Linked DNA regions of Nothobranchius furzeri. The protein of the gene in region 1 purifies or fractionates together with the protein of each later gene. This does not show direct contact. Links are inferred from orthologs where the notes say so. Each region holds a gene or a part of one and is shown in the gene's direction. Other genes may lie near its edges. The genes, in order: E3 ubiquitin/ISG15 ligase TRIM25, g3bp2a and g3bp1.

Evidence for each region.
Region 2: the proteins of E3 ubiquitin/ISG15 ligase TRIM25 (region 1) and g3bp2a purify together in Homo sapiens (affinity purification with mass spectrometry; 4 studies listed by BioGRID and IntAct, counting the BioPlex papers as one, with this or other methods). This does not show direct contact. The link is inferred for Nothobranchius furzeri from reciprocal best matches to the Homo sapiens genes TRIM25 and G3BP2.
Region 3: the proteins of E3 ubiquitin/ISG15 ligase TRIM25 (region 1) and g3bp1 purify together in Homo sapiens (affinity purification with mass spectrometry; 4 studies listed by BioGRID and IntAct, with this or other methods). This does not show direct contact. The link is inferred for Nothobranchius furzeri from reciprocal best matches to the Homo sapiens genes TRIM25 and G3BP1.

The regions. Positions count from the first base shown.
Region 1 is NC_091744.1:7,424,788-7,428,437, forward strand, and holds part of E3 ubiquitin/ISG15 ligase TRIM25, read left to right. Parts: intron 1-90; coding exon 91-259; intron 260-517; coding exon 518-580; intron 581-656; coding exon 657-758; intron 759-1,883; coding exon 1,884-2,012; intron 2,013-3,650.
Region 2 is NC_091744.1:13,129,041-13,132,690, forward strand, and holds part of g3bp2a (ras GTPase-activating protein-binding protein 2), read left to right. Parts: intron 1-174; coding exon 175-276; intron 277-496; coding exon 497-602; intron 603-693; coding exon 694-753; intron 754-849; coding exon 850-981; intron 982-1,070; coding exon 1,071-1,198; intron 1,199-3,650.
Region 3 is NC_091741.1:69,283,008-69,287,412, reverse strand, and holds the start of g3bp1 (ras GTPase-activating protein-binding protein 1), read left to right. Parts: upstream 1-1,599; 5' UTR 1,600-1,734; intron 1,735-3,151; 5' UTR 3,152-3,173; coding exon 3,174-3,268; intron 3,269-3,373; coding exon 3,374-3,455; intron 3,456-4,303; coding exon 4,304-4,405. UniProt on the Homo sapiens protein: Protein involved in various processes, such as stress granule formation and innate immunity. Plays an essential role in stress granule formation.

The DNA.
Region 1 (3,650 bases):
TGAATTGTTTTTTTTTCCCGGTCCAAAGCTTTATCAAATGCATTTTCACATTATTTCAACCTCAAAGTCTGGTGTTTCTCCTCCTTCCAGGCTCATTTTAACCTCCCTCCAGCCGTGAACTTTGACCCCTATACCCCTCGACTCAGTCTAGACTCAAAGAAGGTGAAGCAGTCGGAGGCCTTTACTGCAGCCCTGAAGAACTTTCTGGTGGAGCTCCTGAAACATCCGCATGAAACCAGGATAACAATACTTCAGAGAGGTGAACATGCAAATAAATAATTAGGTATCACTCATTTTAGATGCATGAAGAAAGAAATATGAAGTAAATATTGTCACGTTTTTATTGCAGAGGTGATAGCTGACAGTAATGCAGAGGGTGATTGGTTTATTCTGGGGTGTGGTGGAAACAAGAACGTAATCAAAACATTATTTAGGGGTGTGATTTCTCTCCGTGGATGCGTGTTTTAAATGTAAGTAGGTGAGCTGGTGAAGATTATTCGTTTTGTCACATCTGCAGGTGAAAAGGTAGCTTCTGCCACTGGATTTACACAAGGGAATCCAGCAATTAGTCAGCAGTCAGGTCAGTTTGTTGTGATATGTAGGAAAAATGAATAAATAAATAAATCAAACTGATCGTATTCTTCTAAAATTTTCAGAGCTTAAGTTCCCTCCTCCTCCTCTTATGAGACTCCCCAGATCCCACAGTCCTGGACCGCCCGCCAAAGCGGGCCAGAAGAAGAAGCCGCCAAATAAAAAAGGTAGATTTAAAATGTTTGATCTTAACAGATGTGATACAATAAAATCTAGTGCTACAAGTAGGGATGGGTACCTTTGACATTTGAATCGATTCAGTGCTAATTCCCGGTACCTAGGAATCAATACCGGTACTTAACGGTATCAATTTTAGATACTTTTGAGTGTTTAATATTTCAATATATATTTTTCTCAATATATAACCATATTTGATAAATATCACGAGAAATAACATGCAACTGTTTGTATTTTAACATCGTCCTTGTAGTTTTATAAGCTGATAATTAAACTGAAGCAAACATCTTTACTGTGAACTAAATTTACTCTGTATCTTCATTCCTTTTGCCGTCCTTTTTCATTTGATTTTTCCCATTGGGAAGATAGAATTTCCGAGGAGAAAGCGAACGTACCATTAGCTGATAATGGTGGCAATGGAAGCTAATTTATCAAGCTAACGTGATCTTAAACAGATTATTTAGCTGCTGGAGCAGATTAAAACGATGATACCTCACACTTAGATCGTCGTCGCTGGTTTCATCTTCACCTAATCACCCGTCGCATTTAGTAAAGTGAAGCCAAACTTTAGAGCGCGTTCATGTTCTTCTATTCGGAAATTCAGAGTTCCGAGGAGAAAGCGAACACACCATTAGCAGAACGGAAGCTAACATATTAAGCTAACGTTATCTTAAACATTTTATTTACCTACTGGAGCAGATTAAGATGATGTCTCACTTAGATCGTTGTCGCTGGTTTCATCATCACCCAGTTACCCATCACATTTAGTGAAGTGGACCCAAGCTTTAGCGTGCGTTCTTTCTACCATGCTGCTCTGTTTACAACTCGCTCGCAGCGACCGACGACTTAACGCTCTTGCTCAGCTGTCTAGGCAAGTTCTTGTTGCGAAGGACGGGTACCGAAACGAGGCACCGTTTCAAATGACGTGAATCGGTGTTCAGTCGGTACTATGGAATTCGGTCGGTACCTTAAAAAGTACCGAATTCGGTACCCATCGCTAGCTACAAGCCATCTCTGGGCCTCGGGAAGATATGTAAGCTACCTAAACTTGAGAATGTCTGTTGGTTTTAACTGTCTTTGTATGTTTTTACAGTAGTTCACTTTGTTTTGTTTAGAAAACACCAAAAGTCCTCTCCAGTCTGCTGAAAACACCTCAGAAAACCTGAAGAAATCTATGGAAAACCTGAAGGAGGATTTTGGTGCCAGAGGGTGTCAGGCTGCAGCTGAACCCAGAGAGAATCCAGGTAGAATCGGGAGTTTCCAGGTGGATCAATTATTAACCTCCAGCTCAGGTCGCTCATATGTGGCTGGCTCGCCATTATGTAGTGAAATTGTGAGGTTAAATTATGACCAATAAGATGTGATGATTCTATATAAATATAGAATATCAACCTGATTGATCTTTGAATGTTTAACCAGAAGAATTTAAGATTCTTTGCTTATTCAGGGACCATAAACACACTTCGTATTAATTCAGACAGAGTCAAGTATATAATTAAAAATAAACTATTTTCTAGACTAATTATAATATATAACAAGCTATGAATAAGGATATGTGATGGAATGTAATATGTGATGATGGAATGGTGATGTGTGAAGTAGGTGTATATCAGAACCTTCGTATCTGGAAGAAACTGTGAGTTCTGGGTGTAACAGAATTTGGTCTGCTATAAACTAGAGAGTTGATGATTTATAGAACGGCATCAGACACCAGTATGCAGTCTACGATACCCTTGTATGAGTTGCTCCCGGCGGTCTGGAGGTTTGTGGTCAGAGTGGTGAGGTCACCGGACGTCGAGACCACGATCCTCAGAGAATGGTCACTTCCTCTGAGTTCAACTTCCCCGGTCATGAGATACAACTCGGGTCTGCAGATTAAGCATCCAAGAGGATATCTTGAGAGTTGCAGTAGCTCTGGAATGAGCTGTTGTGTCTGTAATCACTTGCAGCGTTGTGGCAAGGTTTTGAATTAAGGTGAAAGGAGGTTGTTTCAAAAAGACTTCTTTCCCGATTTGGCCGAATCGAGGTGTCAGCTAGAAACTTGAGTTAATTGGGAAGTAAATCCTGTTTTATTAATCCACCATGTTACGACTCTGGCAAATCAGAATTTGACATGTTTGTAGGTTTACCAAACATCCCTCAGAACCACACCTTCATCTAATACAAGGTGTTCATGTTCTGTGGATAAAGAATCTTTAAACTTATGCGATATGTGGCCTTAACCGTAATTTATATCTTATGATGAGCATGATGATGATTCCCTTGTTAAATCAACATTGCTGATCCTAACATATACATCTTTCAATGTAATAATAATATTCATTTCACTTCACTGAATTAGGCACAGATTATCCAAACATTACTCAAATAACATTTGGTTCAACCATATGATTATTTAATGATTATGAGCTGTAACAGTACACTTTTCATTCAGAGTGTGGAATCCTACAGTCTTACCAGACGAAAGCTTTGTTTGGGAACACAGGCTGACAATCTTGTCCTCCTGAAATGTCAACACGCACTGCAGAATCTTCTGGGCTTTTGAAGACAGAATAGAAACTCCACTCAGATAGTGGAATTATGTCTGTAGTAGGGTTGGGCATCGAGCATCCATTGGAACCAGTTTCAACTGTTCATTTTTCCCGGAATCGTTCAAAGTTTTTTATTTCGATTCCTAGTTTCAATTCCTAGAATGCCAACAGGAAGAGGAATCCGCGGCCAATCTCTGTGAAAAATAAACGTGATCTGCAAATTGTGATTATACTGCTGCTGTTTGGATTGCTGGCTGTAATGCACATAACACACAAGCTTGCAATATAAAGAAGGACAACACCTGTCCCCCTCCAGCTCGGCTGTGTGACTGCACTAACCTGTCCTGTGTG
Region 2 (3,650 bases), about 5.7 Mb from region 1:
CACAGTTTAAGACAGAAAAGCGCTCCAGTTGAAGGTTGTGCTGTTTGTTTCCTACGTCTCACAACAGATTTTACTATACAGTCATTTAGTAAAGTTTCTTGTTCTTGCTTCAGATGCACAGATGTTGAACACGGGCGTTAATGGTGCTCTAAAGTTCACTTTCATTTCTCCCAGCCTTTCTCCTGGGCTCTGGTGACCAGTAAAAACCTTCCTCCTACTGGCACAGTCCCCTCTTCTGGAATCTCCCCACATGTTGTTAAAGCTCCGAGCTCACAGGTAAGTCAGACTTTACCATGGAAATATCAACATTCAATATGTATTTGAGGAAATTCTGTGTCTAAAGATGCACCAGAGTAAAAACCTGAAAGCAGCGCTCTAGTTAAACGTTTGTGAAGAGAGGCCCATTATCGGTGTGCTGGTTATTTCTGGGCCTTAGCCTATGTGTACATGGTACCATGTGGGGCTTAATTTTTCTTGTGTGATGTGCTTTATGCAGCCCAGAGTTGAAACAACAAAGCAAGAGACGCAGGCAGCACCGCTTCGCCCCAGAGATCAGCGAACCCGCGATAGACCAACCTTCACCCAGCGAGGTCCCCGACCCAGTAATACTTAAGCTTCTCAATTTCAGCCTTAATCCACTTTCCCCTTTGGACTCTCTTTCCTTTACTGTCTGCACATTTCTGTCACTAATAGATGGTGTTGGATCTTCAGAGACACAAACAGGGAAGCCACACTTAAGTTTTGTTAACAAAGGTATCACTTGTCTTCACGCTTTATTATTAGATTAGAATATTAATCCGTTGTTTATGTGGTGCAGATGTTGCTAATCTGGTGTGTGTTTGTGTTCAGGTGGCAGAGGAGACTCTGAATCCGGGGACATGGACAGCAGGAGGATTGTGCGGTACCCGGACAGCCACCAGCTGTTTGTTGGCAACCTTCCACATGACATCGATGAGAACGAGCTCAAGGAGTTTTTCATGAGTATGTTTGTTTCTCTCAGAAATCAACACTTTGGTATCTTCAGCTTTCTGCAGTCATCATCCAGTAAATGTTGTTTCTGTTTGTTGCAGCTTATGGGAACGTGGTTGAGCTGCGAATCAACACCAAAGGAGTCGGTGGGAAGTTGCCCAACTTTGGGTTTGTGGTCTTCGATGACCCCGATCCCGTGCAAAGAATCCTGGGGGCCAAGGTAGAAGGGGCATGTATCAACAATTCATTACCCATTTTCATTTGTGTGGTGGTTTGGGGACTCATCTTTTATTTGATTTACCACTTTTTAGTCCATTGTTCTGGAATTTCCTTTTTCATGCTGTCACAAAGAATTTTTCCATATCGTTTCATTATTTAAAGTATTTTGTTTTGCACGTTTATCCAGTCAACGCTTGCTTTCACCTCCTGCTCTGTATCACTTCTCTCAAGCCCGGATCACACTGAGCGATTTATTATTTTTTTGGCTGTCACACGGGAATTTTCAAGTCACACTTGAGAATTCCAGAAAGTGTCACACTGTACGGCGTAAGATTTCAGTGAGGCAGACTGCATGGCGTCTCTCCAGCAGGACACACTACTTCATGAGCACACCTCATGTAAGCATACGAAGCAGACCGCTAACAAAAACAAAGCTGAAAAGATTAAAACACTTATTTTTAGTGTCAGTTCATGACCCAACTCATCTTCCTCAAAGAGGAAGCTCGTCTCGTCTCGTCTTCCTCCGCTTATCCGGGTCCGGGTCGCGGGGGCAGCATCCCAACTAGGGAGCTCCAGGCCGTCCTCTCCCCGGCCTTGTCCACCAGCTCCTCCGGCAGGACCCCAAGGCGTTCCCGGACCAGATTGGAGATGTAACCTCTCCAACGTGTCCTGGGTCGACCCGGGGGCCTTCTGCCGGCAGGACATGCCCGAAACACCTCCCCGGGGAGGCGTCCAGGAGGCATCCTGACCAGATGCCCAAACCACCTCAACTGGCTCCTTTCGATCCGGAGGAGCAGCGGTTCTACTCCGAGTCCCTCCCGAATGTCCGAGCTCCTCACCCTATCTCTAAGGCTGAGCCCGGCCACCCTACGGAGGAAACTCATTTCGGCCGCTTGTATCCGCGATCTCGTTCTTTCGGTCATTACCCAAAGCTCATGACCATAGGTGAGGATTGGGACGTAGATCGACCGGTAAATCGAGAGCCTGGCTTTCTGGCTCAGCTCCCTCTTCCCCACGACAGATCGGCTCAGCGTCCGCATCACTGCAGATGCCGAACCAATCCGCCTGTCGATCTCCCGATCCCTCCTACCCTCACTCGTGAACAAGACCCCGAGATACTTAAACTCCTCCACTTGAGGTAGGACCTCTCCCCCGACCCGGAGGTGGCAAGCCACCCTTTTCCGGTCGAGAACCATGGTCTCAGATTTGGAGGTGCTGATCCTCATCCCAGCCGCTTCACATTCGGCCGCGAACCTACCCAGCAAGAGCTGAAGGTCAGAGCTGGATGAAGCTAGGAGGACCACATCATCCGCAAAAAGCAGAGACGAGATTCTCCTGCCACCAAACTCGACACACTCCACACCACGGCTGCGTCTAGAAATTCTGTCCATAAAAGTGATGAACAGAACCGGTGACAAAGGGCAGCCCTGGCGGAGTCCAACCCTCACTGGGAACAGGTCCGACTTACTACCGGCTATGCGGACCAAACTCACGCTCCTCTGGTAAAGGGACTGAATGGCCCTTAACAGAAAGCCACCCACCCCATACTCCTGGAGCGTCCCCCACAGGGTGCCCCTGGGGACACGGTCATAAGCCTTCTCCAAATCCACAAAGCACATGTGGATTGGTTGGGCAAACTCCCATGCCCCCTCCATCACCCTTGCAAGGGTATAGAGCTGGTCCACAGTTCCACGGCCAGGACGAAAACCACATTGCTCCTCCTCTATCTGAGATTCAACTATCGATCGGACCCTCCTCTCCAGTACCTTGGAGTAGACCTTTCCAGGGAGGCTGAGGAGTGTGATCCCCCTATAGTTGGAACACACCCTCAGGTCACCCTTCTTAAAGATGGGGACCACCACCCCGGTCTGCCACTCCCTAGGAACTGCCCCCGATGACCACGCAATGTTGTAGAGACGTGTCAACCATGACAGCCCTACAACATCCATAGCCTTGAGATACCCAGGACGAACCTCATCCGCCCCCGGGGCTCCGCCGCTGTGTAGTTGTTTGACTACCTCAGCAACTTCTGCCCCCGAGATCGGACAGTCCATCCCCAGGCCTCCCAGCTCTGGTTCCTCCTCGGAATGCGCATTGGTGGGATTGAGGAGCTCCTCAAAGTATTCCTTCCACCGTCCGACTATAGCCTCAGTTGACGTCAGCAGCTCCCCATCCTCACTGTAAACAGTGTGAGCGAGTTGCTGCCTTCCTCTCCTGAGGCGCCGGACAGTTTGCCAGAACCTCTTTGGAGCCGATCGATAGTCTTTCTCCATGGCCTCACCAAACTCCTCCCACGCCCGAGATTTTGCCTCGGCAACTGCCACTGCTGCACCCCGCTTGGCTATCCGGTACCTGTCTGCTGCCTCCGGAGACCCACAGACCAGCCACGCCCTGTAGGCCTCCTTCTTCAGCCTGACGGCTCCCCGAACCTCTGGTGTCCACCAGCGGGTACGGGGGTTGCC
Region 3 (4,405 bases), on another chromosome or scaffold:
CACCATCTCTGATCAGAACGCAAACGAAAAAGTCTTAAAAATTGTGATAAGAAAGCAAAGACAGGGATTAAACACTGTGTGTCAAGCTAAACTCTTTTTGACATTGTAATGTGATGTGAGTAATTAAAAGTTTGCACTGAACACTTATTTGTAACATCAGAAAATCCTGGCTGCATGAATTGAAGGTGTGTCTATGAAAATCGGCTTGAATGAGCCAATTCAACATGAGAACACGCTGTTCAGATCTGACTGCCATTTAAGGTTGTTCATGTCTTCAGTCTGTCTGTTCAACGTTGTTGCACTGAGAGGTTTCATTTTCCCTGGCTAAGGCTGCTCGTGGTCCCCTGGGAGACAGCAGAGGGAGATCCGGAGCACCCTGTTACCATCTCCACCCGCTCATCCAGACTCCAGCGTCAGGAATGTGAAACAACCCCAGGGCCCATGAAGCCTGAAGTCCCTCCTCTCTGCCACAGCAGGGAAAAAATAATGAGTTCATCATGCTGTTGAAGAGAAGGTTTGGTGATTTAACACATTAAAATCTCATTCAGGTCATAAAGTCATAGGTGTGGTTTTAAGGAGAATTTTAAGAATTTAACAAAAACTACGAAATAAAAAATAAAAAATACAGGTGAGTTAAACATTTGAAGTGGCACCTTTTAGATTTGATGTTTGAATTTTTTTTAAAGAACCATCATCTGTGTTCTGGCTAACTTTTTTAGGATTGTCAATAATTACAGCTGGATTAATTAGTGATTAATAGATAATAGCTGATTAGATAGATTTCTTTCCAGTTTCCATAAAAAAAGCACATTAGCAAAACATTTGTACTACACATGAATCTAATACTTAAGATATCATATGTGAGGAATGACTCTGGAGGATTTCTTTTCCAGCTCCACAATATTCAATTATTTCATTTTGAATTTCTTTTTTCCTAAATAATTATTACAAGTTATAAAAGTTTCTAAAAGGACAAATTTCCCAGGCAGTCTATTGACCCCTCCAAAGTTAACAGAGCTAAGAACAGAAACAAACTCAAGAAATAATAAAAAAAACAACAATTTTTTAATGAAAGAAACAAACTTAAAAAAATCACGTTATGACATTCACAATGAATATTATGACACAGAGAAGGGGGAATCTGAAGATTTCAGTACCAACATAAATATTGTTCAATCAATGTTGTCTCAAATGTTCCATGTTAGGTGTTTAAAAAGTTGTCCAAATATTTATACATTTGTAACTCTTTTGCTTTTCATTTTAGTTGACATAACGTCTGAATTGTTTTGTTTCGAGACAGAATCAGCATAAATCAGTCTAATCTCAGATAAAACGCGCTTGCATCAATCTTCCACAAATTACATTAGCTCAAATGTTGGCCAAACACTTTTGTCGCCTCCAAGTGGAGAAAATGTAACAGTGCATATTGACTACGGGAGACGCCAGTTCTTAAAACCATCGCACCTTAAACCGTTACTCAAACTTCCATTTTCATCCGGGATACTCCTTGGCGCTTTATTTAATTGGTTGCTGACTAAAACCTTAATCTTATTGGCCAGAGAAGCTCTGAGAGGCGGGACATCATGTTCAGTTGCGATTGCGAGGGTGAAACCACCGGTATCCGGGTACTCCAGCACGTTGTGAAGCCGCTAGTTAACAGGCAGCTGCTACGCTGGTTAAAAAAAGTCACATTATTTCAAAGCAACGTTTTCATTTTAATAGTTTGATCAGTTGGTGAGTTGTTTCGTTCCTATTTATGCTATCCTATTTTCGAAAAAGCAAATTTTCATTTCGCCGCGCTTATTTGATTAACTGGGTTGGCGTCCCGGTCTCCGTCTATTTTCTGGCCTTGCGATGATGTTAGCTGGTTTTGGCCATTGTAGCTAAGCTATTACATAGGTGTTATAACTGTGCAGTTCGCTTAATTATTAAATTATTTAAAACACAAGGCTGTTACTGAAAGTTTGAAATTGTAACTTATTTGAAAATAATTATTAATCCCCAAGTTTCGCTTTTGCTATTTCAGGAAATAGCCACCGCCCTTTCAGTCGTGACTCCCGTTTTCTTTCTTTACAATATTACTTTCCACATTTGGAATTGTATGATCGAACCGAATTTGGTAGTGTTTCGTTGGTTTTATTTGTGTATAAACTACCACCTTGGGTGTGTGGTCGCTAAAAGCGAAAGGTTAGACCAGGGACCGTGCGGGACACGTGCTGGGGCTCCTTCCGTAACCTAGCAGCAGACGGGTCTCTGTTCAGCTTTGAGGCCGTGAGCTGCTCCAGCTGTCGTTGTTCAGCTCCGTGGTGTGGCCGGGCGTCGTGCCATGTGTGCTCAGGTTATATCTGGTAACGGCCGCCGGACTGGCCTTTAGTCCCTGAGGCGAGCGGGGGCCTCCATGACTCCATCACGGCTGGCACGGCGTGGCCTTTGTCTGCTTACAGTTCGAGCACCTTTACTCAAGACCGTGACTTAAGATAATAAACACAAGTCCAAGCTTATCCTCTGCGCGCATCGTGGCCCGGTGGCACATTCTGATCTCGATGGATTGCTTTGCTTGTTTCTTTAACTCGGTTTCATTTCATGATGGATGGGATTTCGCTGGTTGTCTTTATGAGGATGCTCATTTCTGGTTCTGAATGATCTGATAGAAGAAGGATTAGACCGTAGCTTCTATGTGACTAACGTAAATTCTCAGGTTTGATTACCTGTTCTTTATTTGCCTCCTGCCTGAGCAGAAACAGGTTCTCTCACCAACTCATTCATCAAATGTTGCCATAATGTGCTGCATAACGCTAGGTGCCAAAATTATTGTTGCAGGATTGTTAAAAACTAAATGAAGACAATAGTTTTTGATGACTATTAGTTATCAATGTTTACATTAAAACATTTTACAGTTAAAAATATTGTCTTTGATCAGGAACCTGAGCTACAAGTTTTTATTTCATTTTTACAAATTGATGTAAATATATCAAGACTAATGATTTCACTCTCTGTAGTCTGTGGAAGTAGCTGCCTTATGAATTTCTCCACTGTCGGATTAATGAAGTTATTTTATTCTGATTCTTGGATCAAATCACCAGTTTCTTTGTCCCTACTTGGAATCACAGTCCGTCATTTTCTTTGTCAGTGACACTTTTCTTATTTGCAGAGATTTCCAGTTGACCAAAGAAATGGTGATGGAGAAGCCAAGTGCCCAGCTGGTCGGGCGAGAGTTTGTCCGACAGTATTACACACTCCTGAACCAGGCCCCCGACTACCTGCACAGGTACGGAAGTCAGCTGCTTGTGGAGGGTTTGATTTTGAAGTTTAAATGGTTTTATGATAAATTGTTAAATATTTGTACAAACAACTAGTTTGTCTTTTTGTTCAGGTTTTACGGAAAGAACTCCTCCTATGTGCATGGTGGCCTGGACAGCAACGGCAAACCAGTAGAGGCGGTTTATGGACAATCTGTAAGTGGGCTTCACCCAGTTAGAGGCATTTTCCAGCGGCAATACTTGGTGCAACTCGGGAGGGTTCGGTTTGGTCTGATTGCTTTTGTCCAACGGCGCGTTTTGGTATTTTTCCCCTGCTTTCCCTCTACTTTTCAGTCCCTCTGTTTTGGTTCCAAGAGCTGAACCGGTATTTCGACTGTCGGCCACTGATTGGCTAGGGGGCGGAGTCACTGGTTGCTCCAGAGCCTTCTGTCTGCTGTCTGAAACCATAAAACTGAAGAGTGTTCAACATCACCTTTATTTTTGTGCAGAGTTGTTTCTGTGGAGCATGCAGGTCACCTCACAGTGTGTACTGATGACCTTGTGCTATTTTTGTCGCGTAAAGATCCCTGCACAAGCAAATGCTGTGGTCCCCCCCATCCGCTATGAGGGGTGCACCCACTTTTTGTCTCTGAGCAGGCAAGGAAAGCCAAGTACTCTGTGGTGAGCCGAGTTAACCCACGCTGCACTGAGCTGTTTTAGCCTGAGTAGTGCTGTTGGAAAAGGCCTGTTAGGTGTGTCTCATAGTCTCATGAATCTAGAATGTGAAATATTCATGAATATATTTTCTTTTCAAGAGTCATTGTTACACACTTGTTTTTTTCTTCCAGAAACTAAGTTTTCTAGGTAGTTTAACATTCTGATGAATGTTTATCAGTACTTTCTGATTTATTAATCCTCACGTAAATTGTTTTATTCTAATGCTTGTTAAAATAACCATTATCGCTCTTGTCATGTAGTTGGATAATTGAGAAATGATTGATTGCTGTTAAATGCCCAAATTAAATCTTCAGTTCGTTAAATCTTTTGAATTTTTTTTTTATCAGGAGATCCATAAAAGAGTGATGGCTTTGAGTTTCCGAGACTGCCACACTAAGATCAGACATGTGGACGCTCACGCTACTCTGAACGAAGGCGTGGTGGTGCAG